Linked DNA regions of Neurospora crassa OR74A. The protein of the gene in region 1 purifies or fractionates together with the protein of each later gene. This does not show direct contact. Links are inferred from orthologs where the notes say so. Each region holds a gene or a part of one and is shown on either strand. Other genes may lie near its edges.

The links. Proteins that work in one complex are often made in the same cells at the same time.
Region 2: the proteins of NCU00395 (region 1) and NCU02162 purify together in Saccharomyces cerevisiae (affinity purification with western blotting; 6 studies listed by BioGRID, with this or other methods). This does not show direct contact. The link is inferred for Neurospora crassa OR74A from reciprocal best matches to the Saccharomyces cerevisiae genes MSS51 and SHY1.

The regions. Positions count from the first base shown.
Region 1 is NC_026503.1:3,705,485-3,710,265, reverse strand, and holds NCU00395 (mRNA processing protein), read left to right. Parts: upstream 1-1,990; 5' UTR 1,991-2,123; coding exon 2,124-3,667; intron 3,668-3,738; coding exon 3,739-3,778; 3' UTR 3,779-3,978; downstream 3,979-4,781. Other genes in the region: NCU00396 (pre-mRNA-splicing factor rse-1), read right to left, coding at 1-1,052, 1,243-1,486. UniProt on the Saccharomyces cerevisiae protein: Has a dual role in the assembly of cytochrome oxidase subunit 1 (COX1). It has a regulative function on COX1 synthesis, acting as a translational activator specific for the COX1 mRNA, and it also binds to newly synthesized COX1 protein.
Region 2 is NC_026501.1:1,040,637-1,045,790, reverse strand, and holds the start of NCU02162 (SURF-family protein), read right to left. Parts: upstream 3,545-5,154; 5' UTR 3,116-3,544; coding exon 2,818-3,115; intron 2,713-2,817; coding exon 2,194-2,712; exon of another isoform or gene 2,077-2,193; coding exon 1,971-2,076; exon of another isoform or gene 1,882-1,970; coding exon 1,782-1,881; 3' UTR 1,718-1,781; coding exon of another isoform or gene 1,546-1,717; 3' UTR 1,421-1,545; coding exon of another isoform or gene 1-1,420. Other genes in the region: CEN-T, read left to right, coding at 1-1,420, 1,546-1,717; NCU02163 (hypothetical protein), read left to right, coding at 4,144-4,674. UniProt on the Saccharomyces cerevisiae protein: Required for efficient assembly of cytochrome c oxidase in the mitochondrial inner membrane. Involved in a step that couples MSS51-COX14-dependent regulation of COX1 translation to early steps of cytochrome c oxidase assembly.

The DNA of each region.
Region 1 (4,781 bases):
CGCAACCTTGCAGTCGACCTGAGGGTTCATCGAATCAATGCTCTCAACCAGGACCAGATTTTCAAGTGGCCTGGGGTGGAAGTACACCGGGTTATATGAGGCGGTAGGGTCTGTCGGGAAGTCGTCGCTGCTGAACTCGAGCTCCTCGTCATCGTCTCCGAGCTTTTCAAATTGGTAAAAGTGATGGTTTCCAAACTCGCTAGCGGCGAACAGGAAGCCGCTCTTCAGGATGCAAAGACTAGTGGCTACTGGTATCGTGTCGAAGTACTTGATCTTGAGGCGCTTGACCTCTCCGGTGGGGTTGCCGTCACTATCTTCGATCATGTCAATGGTGACTTTGAAGAGATCTCCATCGTCCGTCTGAAGAAGGAAGAAAAAGGCGCCCGCGCTTCCCTTGAGCTTGTGCATAACGCCAGAGACGATAACCCGCTTCCTCTGAGGATCTTCGGTGGCACCGCTGCGTCTAGGGATGGGGACGCGGAAAGCCTCTTGATTCGAGTGCCGATAGGTGACATTTTCCTCGCCGCACACCAAGACACCGCTGGGACCGTCATTGCCGCCGGGTACTTGGAAGAGAAGTGAAGAAGTGCGATCGACAGTATCTGACCACTTGCGTACAACGTGGTTCAGGCCCAGATCAAGCTCGTAATATACCAGCTGTGTCTCGACTTCTTCTCGTGCTTGGCCCGTAGGATCTTGGTCCGCGTCCGTGTAGTCCAGTTCCAACGCAGCGAAAACGGGGTTTGCGTAACCAACGTCAAGGGCAACAAGAGACAGCACCAACACGCCTGGCTTGTGGGCTTCCAGTGGTGACGAGATGGTAAGCTCGGCCTGTGAGTTTCGGTTGAGAACATAGACCAGCTTGTTCTTTTCGAGTGCCGAAATGAGGCATGCTCTTCCCTTTGGATCTGCGGCTAAGTACTGGCCGGGGATGACTCGGCGGACGCCCGATTTGCCGAAAGTCTCGAGGTGGATGCGCTGAAACTTGTTCGTCTTGGGGAGATACTCGATAATCGTAATGCGGCCCGAATCAGTGGCGAGGATAATGTAGTCTGGGTGGCACAGGGTTTTAGCACAATCCCGCTACCGATTTGAATGAGTCTCTCAAGTCCCCAGAAGACTCGTAGGCCTGGGTGCATGGTGCGTGACCATACGTGTGGCCCCTCTACCCAGAAGCACCTGGGGAACGGATCCAGAATCACTATATTGCCCAACACAGGAGGTGGCGGGGAGGTTACTCACCCTTGTGGCTGCCGGCCAGACGGAACGACGCGATGGCGCGTACGATGCCGAAGATGTCATGAGACAACAGGGTGTTGACCTTGCCCTGACGGGGATCAGGCTGAAGGAGGGTTAGACGCGATCCAGACGCCGTAAGAATCTGCTGTTCCTTGGTTCCCGAGAACTGACCAAGCAGAGCCTGCGTGACAGCGGTGGGTGGCTGGATGGTCAAGGAATACAGGAACATGTTCGACGTAGTCGCCATGGCTGCAACTGGGCGCAGACAGCCGGCGCGGCTCTGCTTTCTCGAGGTTGTTTTTGCAAGTGGGTAGGACTCGGTTGTGCTCTGTCAATGCTGCCGTCGTTATGTTGAGAAGACCAATGCGCGAAAGTCAGCCAGATTGTCGAAAATCTAGAGTTGAATATCGAGTAGATGATTGTAACACGGCAAAAAAAAATGAAACACGGTCCAGTGTTCTGGCACTCTGGCGAGGTAGATGGAGTCGGTTGCCGTCGATGGTATTTCTGGCCAATTGGTGCAGTCCAGTCACTCAGGTTGCAGCGGTACGTCGGACTCGGTCCACGGTAGGTCGTAGACGCCGCCCACTCATCTTCCCGCCTCGCGACTGTGGCTTGCTCGTAGCTCTCTGACCCGCATACGTAACGTCAGACGGAGCTTACCTAGGCACAATTGTGGCTGGTGAAGCAAGAACAAAGTGGGTCATTCGATGGACGGGACCCGCCTAGGCACTTAGGCACAGTAGAGGTAGGTAGCGAGTCGGGTCGGTGGGAGAGGACCCCGGATTGCTGGGAGCTGCTGCCAAAAAGTCAATTGGAAAGTCGCATCGAGTCCCGGCGATCCAGATTCCCGATCGAACATCATCCGACCTCTTGAACTCCCAATGGCCCTCCCAGCAGACCGCGCCGTGCGTCCGGCCTTGTCCAAGCTTTGCTCGCAATGCTCGACTTTCACAGCTAGACAGAGCAGGCAAAGTGCTGCGTTTTTGCAGTCAGCCCAGCAACGCTCCGTCAGCTCCATCCGAGGGGCACAGAGCTCTTCCTCGTCTTCGACGCAAGTCGGCGGCATCACCAGAACCATTTCGCGTCCGATCCAGGCTTCGATCACAAGCAAGCTTCCTTCCGTTGCTGCCCAGTCCAGAACCAAGGCCAGCAGCTCGACATCGTTTGCCACCAACGAGGATCTGGCCGGTAGTGGTATCCCCTCGAAGCCGATTCTCGAGCAGGACAACCTCTTCCACTCCTTCACCAACTCGCCCATCCCCAAGATCCGCCAGCGCGCGGCCTTCATAAGACAGCACGCCAGCTGCCCCCACCATAGCCACCGCCCAGGGCAGTTCTCCGAGACCAACCGCCAAGTCGATACCGAGTCTGGCTCCCAGCCGCCGAAGCACGTCGATTTCGAGTGCCCTGACTGTGGCATCCCGGTATATTGCAGCGAGCAGCATTGGATGGACGACTATGAGAAACATCTCGAGATATGCGACACTCTGCGGCAGATCAATGAAGATGACCATGACCTCCATTCAGGCCGCCACTTCTACGAGTTCAACTACGCCGGTCCGCAAATGGATGATGCCATGGTCAACATGACCAACTGGGACACGTTCATGTATACCCGTCAGTTCGAAGCTGTCAACGATGACCGGTGCATGAGACAGGCGACTAGGTTGTTGACCTATCCTCTCACGATCGGCAGCGTTCTTCACGAGTTGAGCCCGTACCACATCCGGAATCGCCTCACGGTCGAGGGCTTAAAGAGTTTGACGGCACTTCGCTATACCCTGCATCCTCCCAAAACTGGAGGCAACGAGTCTATCAAGGGTCTTCGGCCTGAGGCGCCCCCCGTGCGTGTCTTTATTCTCGGTGCTCGCGCTGAGTCGTCGCTGCCTAGAGATGCTTGGGTGCAGTTGGCCCATCTCTTCCCCCTGTCGAGACTCCATCTGATTTTCATCGGACCCGAGAGCATGATGAACCGCGATGACGAATTTCCCCTCCCGCCTCGTACTCCCGAGAATCCTTACGGTGCGGTTGTGGAGGATCGCGTATGGCCTACCATGAAGATCAGCACCATTGTGGATTATTACCATACTATCCACAAGACGGGTTATTTCGCTCCTCACGATCCTTACTTCGACTGCTTCGTCCTCTTCCACCCTGGTTTGGGCCACCCGGCAAGCTCCCACGAATGGGAGGAAACGCTGCCTATGCTTCTCGAGACCAAAGCTCCTATCATTGCTACGGGCTACACGCAGGCTGACATGGAGCGTGATGTCGAGTGGGTCAACAAGAAGGCCAAGGGTGAATTCGACATTCTCATGGAGCCTGGCGAGAACATCTTCCGCAGTCTCCGGTGGGATCTGAATGATCTTGACCCTCAGGACGTCAGTGCCGGTAACTGGGGTGTGTGGGCCTTCCGCGGAAAGAGGTTGGTGCTCTCTTGATTTTTTTCCCCCGCACAACTAGATACGGTTCGAGAGCTAACAGAGTTTGTTTTAGGTACGAGGCTACCGTCAAAGACAACGTCATTGCTGTATAGATGAGCCATGCGTATGCTGGTCGTTGCATCCTGTAAGATGTAGTAGGTGTTGGCAACCGGGCTGTTAGGAGCCCAGACTGTATAATAGGAATATCGAACAAACGCATTGTCACGACCATATCGGCTTTTTACACTTCAAGACTTTGTGGTATCTTTTCCGTTTCTAACGGTACGGGCTGGATGTTACGGATGTCGGATCCAAGGTGTGTGTTCAAAATCTTTTGGACTGCACAGTCTGATAATCTCGTAGTTGTGGGCCTAGGGAGGCACTGATCTGCAACGGTCAGGCTCGGGCCGCATGCAGCAAGTGCCTTGTGTCACGGCAGTCTGCTGTGGCAAGGGTGATGACAGCTTGAGCCTCATCGACGACAGACGGTTTTTTTTTTTCAAGCACTTTTTGTCCGTCTCACGCAACACCTTGCACCGCGCAGTAAATTTCGGTCAACGTTTGTCAAGCGAAGTGCAACGATAACAAACTTCAGGCGTGGAGATTCCTAACCTGCCAGCAGCAGTGTGTATCCTTGGTAAGAAACGAAAACTACCCACATGCTGGAAGATGACTCGCACCGACTTGACTAGAGTTAAAGGAATTTAAAAGCGGTCGAGGATGCGGTGCCGCCTTAGCTGCGTAAGTCAAAGGTGTGTGCTTTGTTGACATTCATTCAGGGGAAGCTCGACGACTTCAAGGGGTGATCGGTTCCATGCTACGGGCAACGACCATGCTTGGTCTTGGCTAACCTCACCGCCTACCCGTTTCGGACAGGTATTGGCTGATAAGCGGCAGGGTGCTTCCTTATCACCTGGGCTACTGCCGCTGTTGGCTGGGGTCGCCGGCCATCCACCACAGGTGCGGGACAGGCGTGGACGGAACACAAGACCGGACCACTCGCTACCTATCAACATGCACCCAGCACCACCTGTTCACCAACCACTGCACCGCGCAACACGCACAATCACACCTCGACGATTTTCTCTTGTCTTCCGCCTCTCGCGCTTCAAAGAG
Region 2 (5,154 bases), on another chromosome or scaffold:
CCAACGCAACCCCGCACGTCCGCGCCGCCTACCGCGCCATCGACTCCCGACGCGCCGCCATCCTCACGCCTCACCACGCGCGCCGGCGCTCGTTGCGCGAAGCCCGCGAGACCCCGCGTAATTTCCTGCTGCAGTTAGGCAAAGTCTTGGCGCCCAAGAGTGAGAGGATCCCGAGTAGTAGTTCGAGTCCTGCTTCGGCGCTTTCTGGATCTGCTGCTGCTGCTGCTGCTGGGGGAAGACAAGAGCAAGAGGAGGGGGACACGTCGGAGGAGTTGACCTTTGACATATCCACGCGGAGTAGGTATGGAGATGAGGACGACGAGGAGGAGGAGTTGCCTAAGAGGCCGAGACTCAGCTTGGGCTTAGGGGTGGGGGATGGGGAGGGCGATGATTGGGAAGATGATGATGAACTGCCGCAACCACATCGGAGTGCAGGACTCGAAGATCTGACGGAGAACTTTACGGTGCAGAGTATCGAGTTGCCGAGACGGGTGGATCCGGAGAAGGATCAACAAAGGATGAGGGATTCGATGGGGCGGTTGAGTGATTTCCCGCAGCTACAGCAACAACAACAACAGAGTGATGGGATCGATTCGGGGTTCTTTCCGCCTGCTGCAATTGATGAGGACGACTTTGGAAATGCCGAGGATAGGATACCGGATGAGTTTAGCAGGCTGGACTCGGACGAGACGAGGAGACGGGAGACGATAGGTGGGGAAGGAGGGATGGGGCTGCTGCTGGGAGCTGGAGGGAGGGATAGTGATTTCCACATTGAGGTGCCGGTGGGGATGGACGAGAGCACGTTTATGATTGCTTCGCCTACGAGGCAGTTTGAGATGGGTCAAGCTGCTGAAGCGGCGGCAACAAGCGGCCAAGGTGGAGGTTTCGCGGAGTTGATGGACCAGAGGAGCGACAGTTACGACAACAATGACGATGACGGAAATGATGTTGGACCAGCATACGACGATTATGATAACGACGACGGTATGGCCATGGATCTGGATAACAACCAAGACGACCAGGGCCAGGCAGGCTCGGATGAGGAGATGACGAGATTATCAGGCTACACACCAACGGCGGCGAGGGTATCACTTTCAGCTTCGGCGGCGCGGGAGAAACTCGGATTGTTTCGGGAAGAGGGTGGTGAACGAGGGGGCTTCTCCAAGATCAAAGCCACCAAAAAGATCTCCAAACACGGCATCGAGTACACATCATTACCTCCGGCCATGATCAAGCGGCTGGCGCAAACATTCGCCAAGACGAGCGGCGCGAAGGGAAACATCTCGCCTGAGGCGCTCAAGGCAATCATGCAGGCTTCGGACTGGTTCTTTGAGCAGTTGGGAGATGACTTGTCGGCGTACGCAAAGCACGCCCATCGCAAAACTATCGATATGAGTGATATGCTTACATTGATGAAGAGGTATGTTTTGGCGCTTTTGCTTTGATCCCTGGGTATCCGATTGTTTATATCCTGTGTAGTGTTCTTTGTACACTTTTTTCGAGCTATTGTACACGACGGACTGACTTACATTTTTGTTTCCATAGACAACGTCAAACCAACGCACAAACCACGCCGTTTGCCTTGGCGCAACGATACCTTCCCAGAGAGCTCCTCCAGGAACTGAGGATGACGCCGCCTGTTCCGGTCAAGAAGCGCCGAAAGGCTGCCTCTTCTAGCCGTGCTGGGGTTGGCGGCGAAGACGAAGAGGTGACGTGAGAGTGTTTGTTACCATTGATGTGTGACAAAGCAAAGCTATCACTGCCCACTCACAAACTCATGTTTACCAGCTCTTGTTCATGCGAACGCGCTTGGTAATCTGGTTCGCAGGCTTCTTGACCACGAGCCAGAACATGATGGAGGTGGCAGCAGCGAGACCGTACCTAAGTACCAGTTAGTCGGGCACTGATATGCGATACCGCAGGGGTACGTCAAGAATTGGAAGGAGGTGAAGCATCGCTTAAGAACATACCAAGTAAAGATGTACTGCGCATGGTTGTTGCGAAGGTTGACCTCGGCGACTCTACCGATAGGGATACCACGCGCCTCGTAGTCATAGACGGTGATAATATCGGGAACTGCGCACAAACATACGTTAGTACCATACCTAGCTAGAATAGCCATCATACCATTATAGGACGCAGGCCAGGCCAGCCACGTCCAAAACTGGCAGAGAAGAAAACAGAGATACCCACCAATAGTCTGCTCAATCCACACCGGCTGACTGCCCGTCAACTCGGCCATCTGCTTCACATCCGGGAAATAAAACTCGCCAATATCCGGCCTGTTGTCCGGCGTGAACATATTCTTCTTCCACGGCTCTCTCAGCATGCCCTCCACACGGACCTTTTCGCCCTGCTTGACGGAATCCGGCCTGCTCCTCTGGTCCGCAAACTTCTTACTCACCCACCCTCTGTTGACCAACACCTTGGAGCTCGGATCATCTCCCCTCTCCAGGGGCGTAACAACCATGTACCCTTGTTCGCCGTCGCGCATGCGCGGGCCGATCAGCATCTCTTGGTCGTGTCGGTAGACGCCCTCGGCGTAGACGCGGCGGTAGTCGAAGTCGGCGATGGCGGCCGGGTCCACGCGGGGGGGAAGGGGGAGAGGGTCCCGGATGATGCGGTCCTCGCATTTGGCGATCAGGTCCGTCTTCCATTTTAGTCGGTAGACTTGCCAGGTTCCGAGAAAGAGGGCAGTGATGGGGATGATGGCTGTGGGGAGGAGGAGGAGGAGGAGGAGGTAAATGCGTTAGTCAGTGTTACGGCTGCATAGCGCATGCTGAGATTGTAGATGGTTGGGACTCAATCAGGACATACCCAGGATAATCAACCCCTTGCCATGTCTCCTGCCGGTCCGCACAAGCTCGGGAGGGTTATCGAGGATGGAAGTAAAGTTGGGATCATCGCCGGGTTGTTGAGTCTGTCGGCGTGTGGACGAGGTGGTGAATTGGCGGCGGGGACTAGAGGCAGGGTTTCTGCCGAGTCTAGCTGTCGTGAATCGCGTCGCAGCTGCTGCGTGGGCTGCTGCTGTTTGTCTTTGGAGGATTATCCTCTTTCCCAAGCTCTGTTGCGACGTGCGCAGGAGGCACTGGAATATGCTCCCGCTGGCCGCCATTGTCCGTTCGTTCGTTTCGTCGGTCGGTTGATCGATCGGCCGAAGAGGTAGATAGGTACTGTAGGTAGTTATGTGGTGGTGACTGAGAGAACGAATCGGAGGCTGCTGCTAACAACGACAACAACAACAACGAGCAACCATAAACAGCGGCATGTGACGAAAATGGAGCTGGGGAAAGATGCGGACAAACTTCGTCATTTGCCGGACACAGGAAAGTTCTCGGTGGAGCTGCTGTTTTGCTCCGATCAAAGTCCAATTCTGGGCGATGCCCCGCTGCCGCTGGTGGTGGTGGGTGTGGGTGTGGGGCGTTTCCATCCGAATGGCCGGGGCCGCTGGGTGCAGTTCCTGAGCGCCGCCCCACCAATGCTTGGCACCAGGGGTCGTGTAAGTGATGGATGGTTGCTAAGGGACCGTGGGGGTCATTTTGAAGACGGACGACAAACACCTTGATGGTCCATAGATGTGAGATTCACCAGGCTGTGTGTTACTTGGGACTGTCGGTGGTGTACAACTCTAGTCTTCAGATTCGTTTGCTGATTTGAATGTAAAGTGGAAGCCTTGCTTCTGGGGCTGTGCTGATGATTAGCCACCCCTCCTGATTTCGCAGTGAAGCACCTGAATGCAGCTTCAAAACAAGGTAAGGCAGGCCAGGTCCGGAAGATAAAAAAAAAAAGAAATAATAATAAATACTTCCAGGTGCTTCTTCACGGGCATAGAGCAGGCCCCGTTTTGGGGCTTCATACCTAAGAGGTAACCCGCTCGTGTGTATCAAAGCAAGACTTCTTACTGCTTTCTCAAACCACTTGAAAACTAAGGAAACCACTTCAGGCTCGAAAGAAAGTGCACTTTCCATCTTCTGCTTCCCGCTCGCTACCTAGGTAATCACAAACCTAACCCAACATCGATCCGCCCAACCTCTAGTAGCCTGCCCTCCTTCGTTTTACTTGACATCAACAACACTATCAAATACTCGGTACTATATACCACATCCATAAGTACAGAGCTGCTCGACTCAAGAAACGCCCAAGATGTCTTCTCCAGGGGCTGGCAGCCTCAGCACCCTGTCGAGCTACGCCTCCTCCGCACCCGATCATCAAGGGCAACACGCCATCGGCCTTCCACTTCCCGCTACGGCTCAACCTACCACAGCCAGAACTACTACTACACTGCCGCCAGTGTCTCCATCATCTACTGCCAACGCAACCAACTTCCTCACCAACAACTCCTCAACCCCCTCCAACAATATCAACAACAACAACAACAACAACAACAACACCCCCAACCTCCTCAATCCAACACGCACAGCCACAATCAACTTCAACCTTCTCCCCGAGCTCGAAACCGGGCTCGACATCGACAGGCTCAACTACCTCTGCCAAAAGCAACAGTTCATAACCACCACCTCTACCGACAAACAGCCAGAAGAGGAAGAAGAGCCAGAAGAACTTGGTTGGAAGGATGCATACGAAGTCATGATCAAAGTTCCCCTCCAGGGTCTTGCGGCGTGGGCGAGAAGGTGGAGAAGGGCTAGAACTGAGAGGGGGCAGGGGATGGTGTAAGGAAGGGGACAGACAGAAACTCGCATGGCTTCGTCGACTGGAGAAGAAGTTGGCGTGTAATTAGGTAACTACTTAACCAACAGACCAACGGATTTGGCATTGCGCGACGAACAGAATATGGGGTTTCAGTTTCATCATTGGGAAGAACGAGGAGTGGACAAGGCAGAGAATTGGATTACGGGCAACCGCATTAGCACTTTTTGTTGTTGTTTTTTTCCGCCGCCCTGGCAAGGGTAGAGAGACAGGCTCAGCGAAAGATGATGATCTTACCTTACTAGCAGCACAATAACATCATGACAATAGTATCACCCATCAACCCAAGCGAGCTAGCAGTGGTCAGACATATATGTCTGCTAACAGTTTCTGTGTAAAACAAGTTGAAATGGTATTTGCCCAAGGAGCGTACCTAGTCAGTTATTTGCTTAATGTGCGTGACAATCTGGTGTAGCTTGACCATCCATCTCAGCCTTCCGCTGCCAC